Linked DNA regions of Macaca mulatta. The protein of the gene in region 2 binds, or shares a complex with, the protein of the main gene of each other region. Links are inferred from orthologs where the notes say so. Each region holds a gene or a part of one and is shown on either strand. Other genes may lie near its edges.

What was found. Proteins that work in one complex are often made in the same cells at the same time.
Region 1: FBXL13 (region 2) and DRC1 share a complex: the UniProt entries of both Homo sapiens proteins name them as parts of the nexin-dynein regulatory complex. The link is inferred for Macaca mulatta from reciprocal best matches to the Homo sapiens genes FBXL13 and DRC1.
Region 3: FBXL13 (region 2) and DRC12 share a complex: the UniProt entries of both Homo sapiens proteins name them as parts of the nexin-dynein regulatory complex. The link is inferred for Macaca mulatta from reciprocal best matches to the Homo sapiens genes FBXL13 and DRC12.

The regions. Positions count from the first base shown.
Region 1 is NC_133418.1:98,606,313-98,610,062, reverse strand, and holds the start of DRC1 (dynein regulatory complex protein 1), read left to right. Parts: upstream 1-1,202; 5' UTR 1,203-1,272; coding exon 1,273-1,427; intron 1,428-3,750. UniProt on the Homo sapiens protein: Component of the nexin-dynein regulatory complex (N-DRC) a key regulator of ciliary/flagellar motility which maintains the alignment and integrity of the distal axoneme and regulates microtubule sliding in motile axonemes.
Region 2 is NC_133408.1:142,505,599-142,509,348, reverse strand, and holds the end of FBXL13 (F-box and leucine-rich repeat protein 13), read left to right. Parts: intron 1-1,374; coding exon 1,375-1,564; 3' UTR 1,565-3,718; downstream 3,719-3,750. UniProt on the Homo sapiens protein: Substrate-recognition component of the SCF (SKP1-CUL1-F-box protein)-type E3 ubiquitin ligase complex.
Region 3 is NC_133419.1:119,883,591-119,887,340, forward strand, and holds the start of DRC12 (dynein regulatory complex protein 12), read right to left. Parts: upstream 2,470-3,750; 5' UTR 2,425-2,469; coding exon 2,212-2,424; intron 1,914-2,211; coding exon 1,841-1,913; intron 1,415-1,840; coding exon 1,340-1,414; intron 272-1,339; coding exon 152-271; intron 1-151. UniProt on the Homo sapiens protein: Component of the nexin-dynein regulatory complex (N-DRC), a key regulator of ciliary/flagellar motility which maintains the alignment and integrity of the distal axoneme and regulates microtubule sliding in motile axonemes.

The sequences.
Region 1 (3,750 bases), on a different chromosome or scaffold from region 2:
GGCCAAAGTATCTCACTGATCTCTTTTCATGGGTTTGTATGGTACCTTTGCTCTCACTTATCTCTTGTGCAACAGCTGATTCCCACTGACTTTCTCATGGTATCCTACTCCCAGGCATAGACATGCGTATGCACACATACTTGTTTCTGTCCTTATGGATAGTGGAAACAAGAACCAGAACCAGGGTGAGTTTTTGGTCAGAGCTGTACCATGGCTCCTAGGAGAGTTTAATGCTTTAGGTTTCAACCAAAGGAGACAGAGATCTGGCAGAAGACCCTGAAGCCTAGAAACAACTACCCCCACTCCTCCTACCACCACCACCTAGGCAGGTGTGAGGCAAGGATCCAGGCAGCTGCTGTTAGACTCTATAGCTGTTGGATGGTTTTGGCATTCCTAAACCTTACTACTGCTTGCAAACTTGGAAGAACTGATTTTAAAAACCCACTCCATTTGCCTCTGGGCAGTTCTTACTCACAAAGGGTGGATCTTCTTGGCCCCACAATTGTCTGTGGGTTGCACCATTTAACAGCTGAGAAAATGGCCCTCAAGAAGTTGTGACTTGCCCAAGGTGGCAGGGCAGGGCTAGGACTAGTACCCACCCTTTCTCACTGCTCATCCAGTGCCCTTAATTCCCCAAGGGCTAATGGGACAGAACCCTGTTAAATGGTATCCAGTATTTGGTTGGTTGGTTGGTTGGGTTTGTTTGAGACAGAGTCTTGCTCTTGCCCAGGATGGAGTGCAGTGGCTCGATCTCGGCTCACTGCAACATCCACCTCCCAGATTCAAGTGATTCTCCTGCCTCAGCCTCCCGAGTAGCTGGGATTACAGGTGCCCACCACCAAACCCAGCTAAGTTTTGTATTTTTACAAACATTTGTATTTGTATTTGGTGACTATGAGTTGGAGGAATATTTGATGAATTAATGGAAGATGAATTAATCATCAAGGTCAGTAAGTGATGAACCACAGCTTGGTCCAGCTCTTTAGTCCTCTAGTCTCCTGGTGAGACTCCACAGCTCCGCTAATACGACCGGGCCTTCGTGGGGCTGACAACAGCCCTGACAAGCCACCGGCTGGAGAGGCGTCAGCCCGAGGCTGGGATGCTCCGCCCGAATGGCGGCTGGCGGCGGGCTGGGCCCAGGGAGCTGCGCGCGCAACCACTCGGGCGGTGGCACCGGTGACCGCTCTCCCTGGCAACGGTTTGTTGCTAGCAACCAGCCTGCGGTCTGGAGGTGGTGCGGAGGGAGCCGCCTAGGTGCCGGGGACTCCTGCCATGAATCCGCCGGGGTCCCTAGCGGGCCTGGACCCGAACCTGGACGAGCACTTGTCCACCCAGATTCTCGCGCCCTCGGTCCACTCCGACAACCCTCAGGAGCGCATCCAGGCCCGGCGCCTCCGCATCGCGGCGCGCCTAGAAGCCCGGAGGCGGTGAGCGCTGGGCGGGCGGGGCGGGATCGCGCAGCAGGGGCCGGAGCAGGGCTGGTTTCCTGATGAAATAGAAACATTTCTTCCGGAAGGTTCATGCAGAGTATGGGAAAGTAAAACGCTGGGCCGGTGCCGCGACGCGCGCCTGTCATCCCAGCATTCAGGGAGGCCGAGGCGGGAGGATCACTTGAGCCCAGGAGTTCGAGATGATCAGTCTGGGCAGCATAGAGAGACCGCATCTCTATAAAACACCAAAATATTAATCGGGCCTGGTGGCCCGCGACTGTGGTCTGCACATGGCATCTTTTCCACTACGTACACCCCCAAACCGTAGGGTCTGCTGGATCATGTGGCCCAAGTAGCCTGGCTGCTTACACTGTGGCCTGGGTCCTTTCCTGTTCCAGGCACCACTCAAAGCTGGCAGCTTTTTGTGTCAGCCTGAATAGTATTCCTAATGCGGGATGTACTAGGACCCAAAGTGGTCTAAGAGGCATTGAGTTTCCTTCTCTGTAGAGGATGCAAAACGCAGTAGATTTGTTTTTTACTTGATAGGCTATCCCAGTGTGCCACTGACCACTGGACCCCTACAAACTTGAATGACATGCAGTCCCTGGGCCTTCATAGGGTTGATTGCCAACGTCTGGAGCACACATGTCTTACCAAGCCCTGCAGTGTGTTTCCATCACTCGCTCATCCTGGCTGATTGCTGCAGGGCCATCAGTGGAATGCAGGGGCTGGCAAACCCTTTCAGTAAAGGGCCAGATAGTAAATATTTTAGGCTTTTGGGATCATATGGCGTCTTTCCTAGCTGCTCAACTGCCATTGTAGTGCAAAAGCAGCCACAGGCAAGACATAAACAAATGGGCATGACTGTGTTCCAATAAAGCTTTATTTATGGACACTGAAATTTGAATTTCATATACTGTTCATGTATCACAAAATAGCCTTCTTTTGATTAAAAATAATAATAAACTTTATTTTTTAGAGCAGTTTTTAGGATCACAGCAAAATTGGTCAAAAGTACAGCATTCCCATATACTCCCTGCCACCACACGTGCACAGCCACTGTCAACATCCTGCACTGGAAGGCACATTTGTAACAATATATGAACCTTGGCGCATCGTTATCACTTGAACTCCATCGTTTACCTTAGGGTTTCTTTTTGGTGTTGTATAGCCTATGGGTTTGAATAAATTTATAGTGACATGAGCCCACCAATATGGTATTACACCAAATATTTTCACTGCCCTAAAAATCCCCTGTGCTCTACTTATTCATCCTAGTCTTTTTTAACCATTCATTTATATATTTTTTAACCATTTAAAATTGTAAAAAATTGTAGCTTGTGCCTGTAATCCCAGCACTTTGGGAGGCCAAGGCAGGAGGATCACCTAAGGTCAGGAGTTCAAGGCCAGCCTGGCCAACATGGTGAAACCCCGTCTGTACTAAAAATACAAAAATTAGTTGGGTGTGGTGGCAGGCACCTGTAATCTCAGTTACTTGGGAGCCTGAGGCAGGAGAATTGCTCGAACCTGGGAGGTGGAGGTTGCAGTGAACTGAGATAGTGCCACTGCACTCCAGCCTGGGTGACAAGTGCAAAACTCCGTCTCAAAAAAAAAAAAAAAAAAAAAAAAAAAAAATGGGCCGGGCGCAGTGGCTCATACCTGTAATCCCAACACTTCGGGAGGCTGAGGCGGGCGGGATCATGAGGTCAGGAGTTTGAGACCAGCCTGACCAACATGGCGAAACCCTGTCGCTATTAAAAATACAAAAATTAGCCAGGGATGGTGGCGTACACCTGTAATCCCAGCTACTCAGGAGACTGAGGCAGGAGAATCGCTTGAACCCAAGAGGCAGAGGTTGCAGTGAGCTGAGATCGTGCCATTGTACTCCAGCCTGGGCAACAGAGCGAGACTCTATCTCAAAAAAAAAAAAAAATTGTCAGAATCATTATTTGCCTGGAAGCCATAAAAAAGCACGTGGTGGACTGGATCTGGCCCACAGGCCATAGTTTGCCAGTGCTGAAGTAATGGATCATTGTGATGTTCTCTGGGATATCCAGATGTCCCTGATGTATTCAGAATATATTATGACAGAGATCAGGAGAATTACCATGGTCCTGTGAGTGTGACAGACTTGTGAGTGTATATCATTGTCTGTTCCATGTAAATGTGAACTTCCTGATTCTTTTTCCTGATGTAGAAAAGCATGCATTTGACCCAATCAGTAGCCACACATACTGTGCCTGAGGCTGTACAAATTTGCTCTAGCGAAGCTTACCACACTTGCGTAGATGCTGTGTTCAGGAGTGCTACCTGTGCAGCT
Region 2 (3,750 bases):
ATAGTAATGTTCTACGATGAGGATATATAAAGATTACATAAGAGGTTTAAAATGCAGGATAGCACCTTTAAAAAAGATAAAAAAATTAACAGAATGCAAAACATTATCTTTGACAATAAACTTATCATTTTCAAAACTGAGAATAAATATTTCTCTGAAGAGAATAAACTTGTTTGCCAAGTTTTAGTCCATAGGGATTGGTGGCTTCAAACTAGAAATTAGTATATGATCATTGCTTTTACTCAATTTGTTCTTTAAGTATGTAGAAGTTTTGTGTGAGAGCAGATATATCAGTTAAAAAGCAATGTGCTTAGAGGCAGAATTAGCAATGCTTTGGTTATCTCCCTGTTGAGTTTGGTTACAATTATTTTAATACATCTAAAGTTCAACTTAACTGTAACAGCAATTTAAACTGCTATCTCTGTGTTGTTGGGGTTTTTTCTTCCTATTTCATTGCCTTACCTGAACTCATATCGCCATTCAGCACAAACTTAACTCAAAGTGTATGGTAATGCCAGCTCCATATCAATGACTCAGTTTCCAGACTTTTGCAATTAATAACTCAATGTAACATACAGCAAGAGTGGAGAAGGTAGTGCCTTCATGGGTAAACATCACAGTTACTAATTTCTAATCCTACAGAAGTGGTCAATTGCTCATCTCCTTTTTAGTACTAATCTCGTGATTCAAACCAACTTTCTAGGAAAGGAAATTCTTCCTTCTGTCCTCACAATGGCTTTGTTTTCAAGTTAGACATACTTTTTTTCTGATGCCTTCTTTACTTTCTTATTTCCTCCTAAGAAAGACTATAACAGTATTTTTTAATCACTTTGGTCATGGACACCTTTGAGTCACAAACCTCATAAAAATGTGTATTATAGACAAAACTGCATGAACTTTCAGGGAGTACATGGACCTCCCTGAAGTTCATCCATGTAGTCAAAAGGGATCTGTGAAAGGGATCTGTGAACTCTGGGTTAAGAGCTCCTGGCCTGGTGCATGGTCAGCCTTCACAGGTAGGGTGGTTAGGTTACTCCCTCATCAGAGAAACTAGAAATACCAAGGAAGGGGCTTACTCAAAGCAGTGTAAATAAATAGAGGCCTCAGTGTTCCTCTTCCATGGCCATGTGTAGTTTCCTTACCCATTCACTGTATCTGTTAATTTCTGAAGTGGTTGAATCAGAGCTACTGAGGCTTTGGGACCCTCTTTATTTGTACATTTACCCATCTCCTCACTCTCAGCAAGGCAAGAGAGGTCTGATGTGAATTCAAATTGTGACAGTGAATTCTCTAACTCCAAATTTGGTTGAGTTTGAAAATTCTGCACTAGGGATTACTTCTGCAACTAGCTAATGCTAAGCACTGTTATTACAGGAAGGCAGCTCAGAGAATGTCATCTAAAGTTCAGCAGCAGGAATACAACTCTAATGACCCTCCACGTTGGTTTGGCTATGATAGGGAAGGAGACCCTCTTACAGAGCTTGACAATGTAACACCATCTAAAGGAGCCTCAGAATTAACAGTGGAAAAGTCAACATACAGCAGTGAAGAGCAAGCAGCGTGACCTTCAGCCTCAAGCAGGAAAAACAACAAATCAAGAACTTGACAAGTTTTCTCCATTTGTTGCAAGTATGTTCACTAGCTGAATCTCAATAACAATGTAAACAAGCAACAAACCATCTTCTGATTCTTATTCCAACTACAAATATTTCCAAATACATCAGTAGTTCTTCTGTCTAAATAATCATGATTTAAAAAAGAAGCCAGGCCGGGAGCAGTGGCTCATGCCTGTAATCCTAGCACTTTGGGAGGCCGAGGCAGGTGGATCATAAGGTCAGGAGTTCGAGACCAGCCTGGCCAACATGGTAAAACTCCATCTCCACTAAAACTACAAAAATTAGCTGGCTGTGGTGGTGAGCGCCTGTAATCCCAGCTACTCGGGTGGCTGAGGCAGAGGACTCGCTTGAACCTGAGAGGCGGAAGTTGCAGTGAGCCTAGATCACGCCACTACACTCCAGCCTGGGCGAAAGAGCAAGACTCTGTCTCAAAAACAAAACAAAAAACAAACAAAAAAAAGAAGCCAAATCAAGTACTGACTACATAAAATTTCTGCCTAAATTTAATCAAACCAATAGTTTTTTGATGAGATATAAAATGTAAAGTTATATGAAACAACCCTGAGAGATGAGATTTTTTTTTTATAAGAAATTAAGAAATTTTTCTCTAGAAAGGAAAAAGAAAGCAGAGATGGCCATATGTCAAACTAAGAGTTTGAGCCAGGGCCATAACTTTAAGGATCTGTGGTGCTTTATAAAGTTTTATAAAGAATACAGACATATATTAATATTTTCAAAGGAAATGTGGCTTTCCTGTGGTTTCCAGACATTTAACAACAAAAGAGAACTAAATGCCACCAATTAACTCTGGACTTATCTCAATATTTGACTTAGTCAGGGGCAAATTAAATAGAAACTAGAACTATCTGAATAGAAAGAATGTCCCTGCAATGTCTCAGAAAGATATTTCTTTAATCAAATTTGCACAATGGAGGAATTCTTAAACTATGCTATGCCAAAAAAGATGCTCCCTCAATTTTATGCTAGGAAGTATGGGTTATTAATTGCATATCTACATATTAGTTTTTAATCAGCTTTAATCTGTGGGTTTTAGTATATGTGCTGCTGAAGCCAGCACATCTGTGGGTTTTTACCATTATTTGATATTATGTAACACTGATGTTGACACAGTCCAAGAGAAAGCACAACTCTGTTCTGACTGCTGCAAACAAGCTATGTCAGCAATATCAGATCAGCCTTTTAACCTATTTCCTCAATTACTTATCTCTCACGTGGAGTTCTCTTTTTGTATTCCACAAGTTTCAAACAAGGATTAAAAACTTAAAGCATCGTTACTTTGAAAAGTTTTAAAAAGATTGTACAAAGTATTATTATAGGTTACCCTGTATTAGCTAAATGCTTTTAGTAATTCTCCCCCACTGAGGTTGATTTGCAAAGTTTTTGAAATAAGGTAATATTACTTAGCTGTGGAAAGGTTCTTAGGAGTGGGCACACAGGCAACAGAATCATTTCAATGGGAAGTTTTAGAACCATAGCCAAGAGACATAAGATGACATAAGAGTACGGTTTTAACCTAAATTTGGAAATTTCTGGCAGCTGCATTAAAGATGTTTTCAAAAATCTGATTCCTAAGTGCCCATGCACACAACTGGAGGAACTTATAAAAGAGGCAATTGCTTTCTAAAGGAATGACACCTGCCCTGGGAAGACCCCGGTAAGAAACACACCCTGTTACGTATTCTCCAGAAACCTAGCAGGTTGCTTTACATTCAGAGCTTGCTCCAAAGCTCTTTGAGTAACATCCTCTCTTAAACAAGAACAGAAGACACATTCATTCATTCCAGGGAGACAAATTTTACAGCTACATAAATGAAAAAAAGGAGTAGAAAAAGTGAGCTATGAAAGGAACCAAGAAGTAAGGTATACAGGTAGAGAAATCTTTTAAGTTCTCAGTGCAAAGTACTCAAAATATCAAAGATATTAGTTAGGTCTTTAGCCCTTAAACATTTCATATTCATAGGTCTGTGTCCAAGAGAGTAAAATATTTCAGCTTTTTCTTTTTGTCTGGGGCTTAACAATGTGATCCAAATATGTACAATTCCATTAATAGTTTAAATATAGTTGACTGCTATTATGCTTATGACTTTTCTGGCTGTGATTGGCTAATTTATTT
Region 3 (3,750 bases), on a different chromosome or scaffold from region 2:
ATCCTGCCTGATTTGTACTGTTCGGGGAAGACCAAGACCAGGCCTGGCAGTTGGAAGCCCTCCTTGTTTCCCTTCCTTGCATCATCTGACCCTGCTGGTTGTCTTCCTCCAGGCCCCTGTCTCCTGCCCACCTGCTCAACAGACCACACACCTGCATATATGGCCTTCCCTTCACTTCGGGCCCCTTCCAGCTCAGCCTCCACCCTTTGCAGCCTCTGCTTCAGCTGGTCTTCGGAAGCCTTGGCTCGACGGGCTTCATCCCTCCGTAGAGCTGTGAGCAGTCCCAGAGCCACTGTCAGGACTGGCTGGGGCCCGCTAAATCAGCCCCCATGAACTTGATGAATTTTGCCCGTCTCTAGAAATCTGGTGGCGGGGCGTCCAGCCTCTTATTCTCTCTCTGGGTTTTGTTGTTTTTGTTTTTTATCCCTAGAGTCTCACAGGCTCCTCATTATTAAGAAGTAAAGACTCTCTCCATGTTCTGCCTATACAAAATAGCTTTCCGGATAGCCCGGCATGGTGGCTCATGCCTGTAATCCCAATATTTTGGGAGGCTTAGGTGGGAGAATTGCTTGAGGCCAGGAGTTTGAGACCTGCCTGGGCAACAGAGTGAGACCTTGTCTCTATAAGAAAAATAAATAGGGCCAGGCGCAGTGGCTCATGCCTGTAATCCCAGCACTTTGGGAGGCCAAGGTGGGAGGATCATGAGGTCAAGAGTTCGAGACCAGCTTGGCCAACATGGTGAAAACCTGTCTCTAATAAGAATACAAAAATTAGCCGGGCGTGGTGGCTGTGTGCCTGTAATCCCAGCTACTTGGGAGGCCGAGGCAGGGGAATCACTTGAGCCTGGGAGGCAGAGGTTGCAGTGAGCCAAGATCACGCCACTGCACTCCAGCCTGGGCAACAGAGCACAGGACTCTGTCTTAAAAAAAAAAGATAGTAAAATAAAATAAAATGAAATAATAAAATAAAATAAATTTTAAAAAAGAAAAATAAATAAATAAATAAAGTAGCTAGGTAGGGTGGTGTGCACCAGCTACTCGTGAAGCTGAGGTGGGAAGATTGTTGGGGTCCAGGAGTTTGAGATTACAGTGAGCTATGATCACACCACTGCAGTCCAGCCTGGGCAATAGAGCAAGATTCTGTCTAAAAAAAAAAAAAAAGCTTCCTTTATCAACTCTCACTGCCCACCCCTCTCTCATTGTCTTTTTCCACTAGGGGATGGTTAGGGTTCAACTTAGCCCCCCACTGTATCTCCAACTCTCCAATCCCCCAGGATACAGAAATGCCCCATTTCACTTGCCCTGTTGCCCACCCCCATGCCAACTTCTACCCTCCTTACCCAAGTGATCTCGGAGCAGCTCCTTCTCCAGCACCACCAGCCTGTGCCTGGACTCAGCCTCCACATCTGCACCTGCTGTGGCAAGTGGCAGAGCCTCAGCTCTTCGTGATCTCAGCATTCCTCACTCTCCTTGCGTCCTCACCCCACACCCTGCACTTTTGCCACAGGAGACCTGAGGACCACTAAATGAGGGATCCATGGTGGCAGAGTCTACTGAAGTCAGCACTGTGTCCTTACCAACCAGCACATAACAGATATGCAAAATACACATGACAAATATATTAGGAAGGCACAAAGCTAGATGGTGCTTAAAGGAGAGCGTGAGTGACCATTTCCCCACTTCCTCAGCTCCCTGCATCTGACTTCAAGGACACGAAAGAGGAAGGTCAAGAGAGTTCCATCCTGTCATGTAGAAGGCTGAATTCTCTCTGGAGGAGCTCTGCGTGGTCTTCATGCCAGAACATGGAGAAGCAGGGGGCACCTCCACCCACCATGACTCACCCCAGTTCTTTTTCTTCTGCGCCCCAGATTTCTTCCCTTTTTCTTTGTTTTTAAGTGGCATCTCCTTGCTGTCCTGGGAGAAGGAGGGGACCTTATGTTTAGGTCTGGACACAGGGATGCTTTCCTGACTGAATCAGGAGTCTCAGGGGAGTCTCCTGGTTCTACTCCAAATTTGTATCTCATACTCTTCAGAAAAGTCAGTTCACAGTCTCTTTGGAACCTCAGGCAGGGTTGGGGTCAACGGGGAGGGTGAAGTTTTTTCTCTCAACCAGGCTGACTGTACGGAAGTCACTCCTCACAACTCTCTTTTAGATAAATCCCTGTACCTGCTCCCCTCCCTCTTCCCATCATCCTCAACCCCCTCTTCCTACCTGTAGGATCCTCTCCTGCCAGTGTTGGGGCTCCCTGTGGAGTGACCCACCCGTGGGGAGTGGCAGAGAGAAGGCCCAACTAGCGAGGAGCCTGAGGCGGGGCCTGGGTCCTGGGAGCCAATCCTTGGTGACAAATTTCTCTTGAGGGCAGGACTGAGGGCTGGAAGGTTGGGTTTCGGGAGGCTGTATGTTGTCCAGGCAACTGGGAAACATGGAGTTCGTAGGAAGGTGGAATGGGCTAAATCAGCTCACAAAGCTTAAAATATCAAGGTCTCAAAGGGTCAGTTCTTTCCTTATCCCAAAACCCTAAGTATAGTTTGAAAAGAAAGGGCTTTGGAGGCCGATTGGTTATGATTCATTGCCACGTAGACATGGCCTGCAATTTGGAGACTTCCAAATTCAGATGTACACATCTGAGATAATATGTTGTGCTGATACAGAGGAAAAGGACTGACAGTAGCCATGTTGGACAATTGACATCCCGAGGTCCCATCAGCAAAATGACATTAGTAGGTTTAAAACTGAAGATCTAAGCTGGGGGCGGTGGCTCATGCCTATAATCCCAACATTTTCAGAAGCTGAGGCAGGAGGATTACTTGAGGCCAGGAGTTCAAGACCAGCCTGGACAACACAGTGAGACCTCATTTCTACAAAAAATTAAAAAATTAGCCTGGCAGGGTGGTGCACACCTGTTAGTCTCAGCTACTCGGGAGGCTGAAGCAGGAGAACCACTTGAGCCTGGGAGGTTGAGGCAGCAGTGAGCTATGATTGCACCACTGCACTCCAGCCTGGATGACAGAGGGAGACCCTGTCTCAAACAAACAAACAAACAAACAAACAAAAACCCCAAACCACTGAAGATCCTCTTCAGTACACTGTGGAATGAGGGTAATAAGTACAGGAATAGGTAGTCGAGGGCGTTTCCCACTTCAGAGAAATGAGACACAAAGGAACAGCAGACCCATGGACTCTAGGGTACTGACCTAGAGGGATGCAAGTGTGCAGGAAAGTGCTCAGGTTAGAGACAAGACATTTGAGTTTGAGTCCCAACTGTGGATATGTAAACTGAGGCAAGCCATTTGACTTTGCTCAGCATCAGTTTCCTGATCTTTAAATGTTTGATTTTGTAGCTCTTGAAAAGCCTGTGTTTTAGCTAGGTGTTTACATGGCTATCTTCTCTCCTAGTTACTTAATCTATTGCTACATTTCCCCATTCCCTTGTGTGGTTGATTTTCAGACAGGTGTTGAGACATTGCTTTGTGAGGCTCCCTGCAGCATAGAGTTGGTTGGGGCTCCCTCTAGTGGACTTGTTTGACCTTCTCCTGAGTTTCCCACATTTTTGCTTTTAAATTATTTACTGGGCAATATTGGGGGTGACTCCCTTTGGGGATACTTCTTAGTGTCCTGCTGGAGCCAGGAGTGGCTGGAATAATTAATGTGGGGGAGAGAGTATGACGGGTGGCCCTCCCTTGTCAGGCAGCCTTCACTCTCCCTGCAGCTCTGTGCTATCCTGAGGCTTGCCATCTATCTGCCACTTGG